Tribolium castaneum: one gene and its partner. The protein of the gene in region 2 interacts with the protein of the main gene of each other region in a pairwise test. Links are inferred from orthologs where the notes say so. Each region holds a gene or a part of one and is shown on either strand. Other genes may lie near its edges. The genes, in order: Edc3 and Efhc1.2.

Evidence for each region.
Region 1: the proteins of Efhc1.2 (region 2) and Edc3 interact in binary tests that used the Homo sapiens proteins (3 or more experiments, as listed by UniProt). The link is inferred for Tribolium castaneum from reciprocal best matches to the Homo sapiens genes EFHC2 and EDC3.

What each region holds. Positions count from the first base shown.
Region 1 is NC_087396.1:13,257,690-13,262,107, forward strand, and holds the start of Edc3 (enhancer of mRNA-decapping protein 3), read right to left. Parts: upstream 2,966-4,418; 5' UTR 2,734-2,965; coding exon 2,582-2,733; intron 2,536-2,581; coding exon 2,071-2,535; intron 2,027-2,070; coding exon 1,727-2,026; intron 1-1,726. Other genes in the region: mRNA export factor Gle1, read right to left, coding at 3,794-4,418. UniProt on the Homo sapiens protein: Binds single-stranded RNA. Involved in the process of mRNA degradation and in the positive regulation of mRNA decapping. May play a role in spermiogenesis and oogenesis.
Region 2 is NC_087398.1:5,344,065-5,348,341, reverse strand, and holds Efhc1.2 (EF-hand domain-containing family member C2), read right to left. Parts: upstream 2,805-4,277; 5' UTR 2,754-2,804; coding exon 2,664-2,753; intron 2,615-2,663; coding exon 2,438-2,614; intron 2,390-2,437; coding exon 2,239-2,389; intron 2,193-2,238; coding exon 1,152-2,192; intron 1,101-1,151; coding exon 904-1,100; intron 858-903; coding exon 733-857; intron 689-732; coding exon 392-688; intron 344-391; coding exon 241-343; intron 192-240; coding exon 45-191; 3' UTR 19-44; downstream 1-18. Other genes in the region: Esyt2 (extended synaptotagmin-like protein 2a), read left to right, coding at 3,037-3,126, 3,174-3,371, 3,466-3,507, 3,558-3,698, 3,745-3,821, 3,864-4,197, 4,243-4,277. UniProt on the Homo sapiens protein: Microtubule inner protein (MIP) part of the dynein-decorated doublet microtubules (DMTs) in cilia axoneme, which is required for motile cilia beating.

The DNA of each region.
Region 1 (4,418 bases), on a different chromosome or scaffold from region 2:
TTACCATCCGAAGTTCCATCTAGACCGTGGCAAACAATTGGTGCCGACCTCGCAGAATATCATGAGTCAACTTACTTAGTGGTACAGGACTATTATTCCAAGTATCCTGAAATCAGAAAACTTCGCACCACCAAAGCCAAAGTTGTTATCGAGACCTTCAAAGAAATGTTTGCTAGACATGGTATACCCGAAGTTGTCCGCTCCGACAATGGCAAACAATTTGATTGTCACGAATACAGAACTTTCAGCAGAAAATATGGATTTAAGTTAATTACCAGTAGTCCCCATTACCAACAGTCAAATGGACAAGCCGAAAGTGCTGTGAAGCTGCTCAAAACGATATTGAGGAAAAATGAAGATCCATATCTTGCACTTCTTACCTACCGCAATACACCTACTAAATGTGGATTGTCACCTGCCCAACTGCTCTTTGGCAGAAACCTTCGAGACAGACTGCCAAGGTTACCTTCAGGGTTAAAACCTGCAACTATCGACCATGACACTGTCAGACAAACGTTAATCAACAATCAAGCAGAACAGAAGTCCAACTACGACAAACGACACCGAGTAACAAAAGAAGAGAAAAATCTAAAAGAAGGTGATCGCGTATGGATCATAAATATGCAAAAGGAGGGAGAAGTACAACGCAGATGTGAAGAACCAAGGTCATATTTGATCGAGACTGACGGCGGTTGCGTCAGACGAAATCGAAGACATCTTCAGCCCTTACCAGACAGAAATAATGAACCCGAACATGACCCAGAACAACCAGACGAATCAGAGGAACCAAAGAAAAGACCAATCAGAAGACCCAAAAGATACCAAGATTATTATTGTTATTGAAATATGTATATTTTGATACCTCAGGTAGTTAGTTTCATATTTAGCTTAGTTTTGTATTTAAAAGGGGGGATGTTAGGTTGGCAACTCTCACGTGGGCGACACGGGAGTTGGAGGGGGGTTTTTTGGCAGAGTGAGTTAGTTAGGTTATGTCGCAGAAGGGGCCTGGACGCACCCTCAATGCTCCGGGATATTAGTCAATAAACAGTTATAAGGTTGAATGGTCTATTTACAACTAACCTAACAAGTATTGTACGAATTCAGATTTAAATCATGCTACTTAAAATATTCTTAAAAAAAAATAATTTTTTTATTGGTAAACGACTCAATTGTATGCCGGAAAATTTAAGAGTACACGCTGACTAGCTTTAAAAAATGATAAAAATATCTAAACAAGAATCCAGAGATTTCAGATGCAGAACAGCTTTAGGAAAGAATCAGAATAATCTTAAAGAATTCTAAACGAAAGTAGAGAATTTTTATTGTTATCAGTGTTTTGTGCAATATAGTTATTAACAATATGAGTACGAAAACACAAGCTTAAAGTCCGAGGACTGTCATACAACGAGCGTATACGAGTGACATACCTGGACACTCGAGAACTTTAAGCATTTTCGCATAAATATTATTCAACTTTTTTTTTGTTGGAACATTTTAATGAAAAACACGTTGCTATGGGGAGCGTGTTTTAAAATAGTGAAAACACGTTGCTATCGGAAACGTCTAGGATTCAGATATTAAAAAAAGGCTTAAAATATTACCAAAAAAAAAGTCTGTTGCCCTTGTTTTAATGTTTCTAATACCGCTTCTTATTTAAACGTGGAGAATTATGATTTTTACCAAGCTCACTGCCTTCAAATGAGCTCGGAAAATTAAACAAACTTACTTGTGCGGCCCACACAGCACTACAACAGTGGGAAACTGGTGCGAGTTGTGAGGATTCAACCTATGCCCGCCCCCCAATAACTGTACCGAAATTTCGGCAGCTGCCCTCCCAAACAGCTCCACCCTCTTATCCCACGTGAGCCCCACTCTATCAGCCACTTCCCACAGTTTCTTTCGCAAAGACCTCGAAATGCTCGGTATAATCAGCCCATCATCCGTCACATACTCGCAAAAGTCTTGCTTAGGCACTATTATCTGCCTATACGATGCTGGAGTGCTTGCAATAACATTTTCATCATGCCTGGAACAAACCCTGTGACTGTGCCACGCTATTTTTCGCCAAACCTGTATTTCGCCGGCTTCTTGCTGTCGGCATTCTTAATAACGTCCGGTTTCTGGGAGTTGTTAATCTCGTCCCAGATGGCTTGTTTATCAAAAAGCGCCAAATTTTTCTCAAAATCGAAGTCTTTGTTGATTTTGTGGTCCAAAGGCGAGCCGAAACACTCCTCGTCCTTCCAGCCTTTGGACCACTTGCCTTTTGACTTTTCTCGCCTGACTGGGGTTCCGTTTTTGAATGAACTGGATTCGTTAAAACTATAGTTCGTGGTTTTGGGTTCGATATCAATGGGTTTTGATTTGCTGTGAGATCCGTTTAAATTTGTATGTTTGGATGCTGCATTGGCGACATCTGAGGTGCTCTGCGTTCGTCCAGCGCGCTTCGCGATTGGCTTGGCGATGGTTATTGTGCTTCTCTGTGGAGGTGAGCTTAAGTGCTTGTCAATTAATTTCAACTCTTCGATTTCGTTTGCCCTAAAATGCGATGCTCAAATTCGAGGTGTTGGAGAGACTGGGTTACCTAATGGTCACTTCGTTCGAAGGACAGGGAATGCCGTTGCAGAAAGCCTTAGTTAGAGCAATCTGAGAAGTCGTAGCTGCGCTAATTTCACCTTGATAAGCGGTATCATCGGCGCACTTAATTGAGACCATGTATCCTACCCACTGTGCCATTTTCTTTACAAATATCAATAGCACAACCGAGAGCAGATAATTTGTATAATTTATAAAATGAGGTTAGGTAACACTGCGCAGCAGATTTATCAGTCGACCTCAACTTCCCAACAAATTATTAAATACGTGATGTAGAACCAATAATTAGCACAAAACAAGAAGAAATATTTACAACAATGAACCCACAACAAATTAACAGCACCCAACAACCATCTCTTGCGACACACTTTTCGATACAGCTTTCTCTCTCGCACGTTTCACCTTTTCTAAAAATAAATTCGCGCCGTCTCTCTCTGCCCAACGCTGAGTCGCATCAACTATCTCTTTCCAACGTCCGTTAGTTAGAAATACCGTACAACCGAAATATTTTATAAAATTTTAAACCGCAAAATAGGCCTTAAGTAGCGCAAAAATTGGCAAAATAAACTCGAAAGAAGTTGCAAAATTTCGACACTTTTTATGCTTCTACAAAATGAGAATGCAGGGCCGGACTCGTTCCTAACCCCGGTCTCCCGGTGCTTCAAGCCCGTACTAATTACAAATCTGAAAGCCCCAGTTAATTTTCGTCGTAATCAGGTAGAAAAATCAACCACTGAAACGACCATAACCTTAACCGTTTTTCCAGAAATGAGTAATATCATGACTTTGGTGAAAATCGGGGCTGTGGGGGGCATAGCGACGGTCACGATGGGCTTATTATACCGAAATAAGATTGAGCAAAACATTAAAGGCACCGTTTATTACAAAGAAGCCTTAAGGACTGTGCGAACCAACCGAGGGGCAGTGCACCTCCTCGGCGAGCCAATCAAAGACGGAAAAATCGACCTAGACGACACGGAAACGAACTTCACGAGCGAGAATTCCGCCCATTACGAAGTCCCCATAAGGGGGCCCAAGCAGAAAGGGCGAGTATATTTCTGGGCCAGTAAACATGACAACAACTGGGTCGTATACAGAGTAGAGTTAGGGTTAGAAAACGAGCCCGATCGGAGGTTACTAATTAAAAACCAGGACCAGTAAATTAATAAAAGTTTATTTCTCCTTGTATATACACAATAAATTACCAGAAATTGTTGGGTAAAATCCCATTGGGCGTTTCAAAGTGCCCCTTGCTTTTATAGTCTTGCAGCAGCACCTCTAGCCTCGTCACGGGCCCCCCCGAATCAATTTTCTTCAACGTCGGCATGAACTTCTCCATGATAATCACAACCAATTTCTTGAAGGCCATTCCGTAGACCAGTTCCATCTCAAAACCAACAGTTTCGAGGAAAACGTGCAAAACGGTTGCTGTGATGTCCAGCTGTGGTTTTAATTTTAGGATTGAGGCCAAAAAAATCCACGCGTTTGTAATGTCGTAGGGGTTTTTTGTCTGTCCCCGCTTTGGCTTGGCAATGAAAATGGCAAAATACAGTCGCAAGATTCCAGTCATTCGTTTGAGAAATTTGTCCTGTTTTTCGATCTGCCCGTCAATGTAGTGGTAACCCAGGACTTGGTAGTACTCTTCGGTTGTTTGTTCCTCTGTTTTTGGGATGTAAAATGGTACCAAATAGGGGCACTCTGTGTAAAAATAGCCCAGAAGGAGTTTCCCAAAGTCGGGAAAATCGTTCCACAGGGAAACTATTATCGTTGCATAGCAAAAGGCGGCTTCTGGATTGCTAGAAATCATTAGATCGCCTTGCAGGACA
Region 2 (4,277 bases):
CAACAAAAACACACGACAAAAGTTTCACAAGGGCAGTGTTTTATTTATTTATTTTTTTGGAGTCGCTCAATCGTGTTATTCACTGGTTGCTCCTTGAAAGTGTCTTCCAAGTCCAAAAATTTGTTGAATTCGCACCAGTTGATCAACTTATACTTTTCGTACTCGATCACTTTGATGCAACTCAACTCATGCTGCAAAATTCGTAAATATACAAAAAACAATTTTTTATCGAAACCTCACTTTCAAACTAATGGGTTCAACGTCTGGTAATTTACAAATATCCCGATTGACGAAATTCAAAATATCCTCGTAGCAGAGATTACCTTCGTTATCTTTCTGTATTCTGTTAAAAACCATCAAATACCGAAGAAATTGCGCGAGATATACTCACACTTGCAAAATTTTGTCGACGAGTTCTTTCTCCAAAGGCAGTCTGCAGGCCCGTAATACAATGTAGCACTCATTTCTGGGTAAAACCCCGGATTTGTGGGGGTCTCTCATCAAGAAATATTCCCTCAATCGGGCCAAATCGTCCCAAAGCCCCCGCTTTAATTCCGTCAGAGTGATTGCCCTTATTTTTTCACGATCATACTTTTCGGTTAAGTCGACATCGCCGGGAAAAGCCCGAGCGATTGTGATCATTTCATGTTCGGTGAAATCGTCGCCCAAAATCCCCAATAATTTTGCCCTAAAACCCTCCACTTATTTTCTACCAAACAAAATTTTATTTACTTGAGAGTATCATAAGGAATGGTTGTACTCTCTTTCGGCATATTTTCCGCAACAAAATCCTTGTAAGTCGGTCTCAGCTTTTCGCGAATTTTCCCCATTATAACTTTAATGTTCGCTTTCGGGTACTAAAAGCCACATTTACAACCGACTAAACCTAAACCAACGCATCACCTGATGATCGTGAATTTCCATATATCTGAGCGCATACTCGTCTGCGTCTATCAGTACGAATTTAAAACTGTTAATAATCAAAGTAGCCCCCACATACATGTCTTGGGACTTGTACGTGATTGGCGGTTTACTTGTATAGACCCCTTGATTGGGTAGAGCGACGGACCTCCGCGCGAAGAACTCCTTCGTATCAAAACCTACAATACGTGAGTAAGCCGCGCCCCGTTATCTTCACGCCACGCCCATACCCGAATTTCTAATCCCGCGCTCAAACACAGCAATCGTGTCGTCAGCCAAGTAGTAACTTATGACAAAATGCCGAGTACAGTTCTCGGGTATTTTCGACAACATTCGGGCCTCGAATCGTAAAATGTGACTGTCGATCCCGATTCGATCCAAGTTGAGGAATTTTTTGAAGTCTCGATGGGGCGCCTTGGGCTCCACTGTGATACAATTCTGGGCCGAGTCCTCATAAGAACCGTAGCCGTTCCAAGGGGGCAACTCGCGCTCCTTTTGCTCGACTTTAACCCCCGCGTGCTTGTCCTCAGGGAAAGCTATGGCGTCTAAACTGTTCAAACCGTACATACTTCTGTAGTACTCCCGGGTATAGGGGTCACAGTCAGTGAGTACCAACTTCCTCCCGTAACAATTAATCACACTTCCAATAAACAGATCCTTTTCGCAGTAGTACTCCGTGACCTCGACCCCACACGACAAGGGGTCTTTGATAAAGCGCCCCCCTTGCAACCCCGGCCCTAAAACATTTAAAACGGTGCTAGCGCAGTTGGCGCCCGGCATTGGCAGTTCTTTGTAAGTTTTAGGAATTTTGTCTCTATGCAAAAAAATAAAAGTGGTTTTCTTGTTACAATCCTCGGTCGAAACTTCCCGGATTTCAATCGTATCGTCTGCTAGGTAATATAAAATTTCCAGACGGTGCAAATACCCAAAGACTGTCTCCTGATCGTCCCAATAGCCATAAAAACGTAACACTTTCCGGTCATTTTCCAGAAACTTCCCAAGGGAATCGTCTTTCTTTTTCCCTCGTTTTTTAATCCTGGCATTTTCTTGATTACGCAACTCCAAGAAAGGATCCCCGGGAATGTTTAATGAATCCGGGACGTGAATCCCACACCGATTAAGAAAATTCCGAGTGAATTTATCACAATCGGTGATTTTAAAAACCCGGCCATAGAATTCGACCTCTTTGCCAACATTTAAATCAACAACTTCGTAAAAATTATCATCCATGGGGGCCGGAAACCGGATTCGGTGCCGACAAATTAGAGTCCCTAACAATAAACATTTTCCTCTCAAATTTTACAACTTATAAGCAACCTTGCGCAATCCCGCTATTTTCAACTTTGGGCTCAATCACCTGAATCGTCCCATCTTCGAGGAAAAAATAAATTTTGACCCGTCGCAGTGAAAAGGGGGCACCACGTACCTCCTGCAACGTCTCCTTAAAAAACGCGTCGAAGCACAAGATCTACAGAACGGAAATTAGCAAGCGTCAACATCCGACGCACCGATTTACTTGTTTGTCAAACGCGATCCAGGAGGGGAGTTCCAGAACTTCGCCCCTGGGGTACAAAGAGGGGTATTTATCGGAAAGTGGCCCGAACATATTCGGTCTGACTTTCTCGACCAATGCTGGGACCCCATCACCGATAAAATCGAATTTGGGGTCCATATTAAATTTGGTTTTTCCCAGCTGAAATGTGAGTTCGGAGGTAATCATGGTACGGGTATGGGGTTTTTACCATTGGGTTGAAGGTATAGCCCGGCAAAAAGGGCAAATCGGGGCACCGCAAAGCCATCGTGTCGTGAATTTGACGGAAACTGGTTGTCATAGAGACGTAAATAAATCAAAGCCGGTCCTGGGCTTAACTGACGTTTCGTGGTAGACAACCAGTTATACAATCAGCTGGGCCAAGGTGAGTGCGAGCAACTTTTACCGATTTTGTAATGTTGTAAATATAGTTTGTGATGTCATATTGAACAACACGAGGCGGGGCGGTTGTAATCTCACAACAAATTGAAATGCTTCAAAGATAACCCTTTAGTAGCTCTCCATTTCCTTGGAAGCAAGTATGCTATTTTTGTCTCCACTTTTAAAAATATTGAGTTTTAGAGATGAGTGTGAGTAAAGACGGGAGTCAAGCCATGGAGAAACGCTCCGAGGGCTCCAGCATCTTGAGCGTTATTTTCAGCGCAGTCAAAAAGGTAATTTTCGAGGGGCGAAGACCTCACACAAACTGACCTAATTCTAGGCCTCCATTGTCGGCATTGTGTACTTTGCGGGTTACATGCAATGGTCGGTCGCGTGGTTCATTGGCCCCATTGTCCTTTTCGTGATCAGAGACCAATGGAAAAAAGCCAGCGACAGGAAACGCAACATAGCAAAAGCGGCAGCTTTAGCGAGCGAAAAAGACGTTGTTTTGGCGAGACTTGATGATCTTCCAGCCTGGGTATGTGAGGTCACTTCTGACTCATTTATTGTTAAATTATTACTGAGATAAGGGAACTGTTTGCAACAGTGTTGACCACAGAATCTATTTTTAGGTGTTTTTCCCTGACGTTGAAAGAGCCGAGTGGCTCAACAGAGTGAGTAAAACTCCCACAAGTAGAACCTTCGCCTAATCCCAAATTTCCAGATTATTAAACAGGTTTGGCCTAACATTAACCACTACACACGCGACTTAATCAGGGACACCATCCAACCAATTTTGAAAGAAAGCCTAGAAACGTATAAACTGTCCGGTTTCAAATTTGAACGCATTATCCTAGGCACCGTGGTAAATTGATTGCCACTTGTTTCTCGTGATTCAATGGTTTTTTCAGCCGTTCCGAATCGGGGGTGTTAAAGTATACGATAAAAATGTAGCCAGGAACGAAATTATCATGGATTTGGACATTTTGTAAGTTCTAAGACCACAGTTCAACTTTATATTTTCTCATAGTTATGCCGGCGATTGCGACATTACGTTCTACTTGGCCGGGATCAAGGGCGGAATCCGCGATTTCCAGCTCCACGGCATGCTCCGCGTTGTGATGAAGCCCCTGATCACCACAATACCGCTGGTGGGTGGCCTCCAAGTCTTCTTCCTCAACAACCCCGATATAGACTTCGACCTTATCGGCATCGCCGACTTGCTCGACATGCCCGGCTTGAGCGACATCTTGCGGCGCATCGTGGTGGAGACCGTGGCCTCAATGATGGTCCTCCCCAATAAATTCCCGATCAAGTTGAGCGACGACGTGGATGCCATGGAACTAAAAGCCCCGGAACCGGAAGTGAGTCTAGTTTTGGTCGTGGAAATGTAAGTTAGGGGGTTTTAGGGCGTTTTGCGCGTCCATGTGGTCGAGGCCAAGCA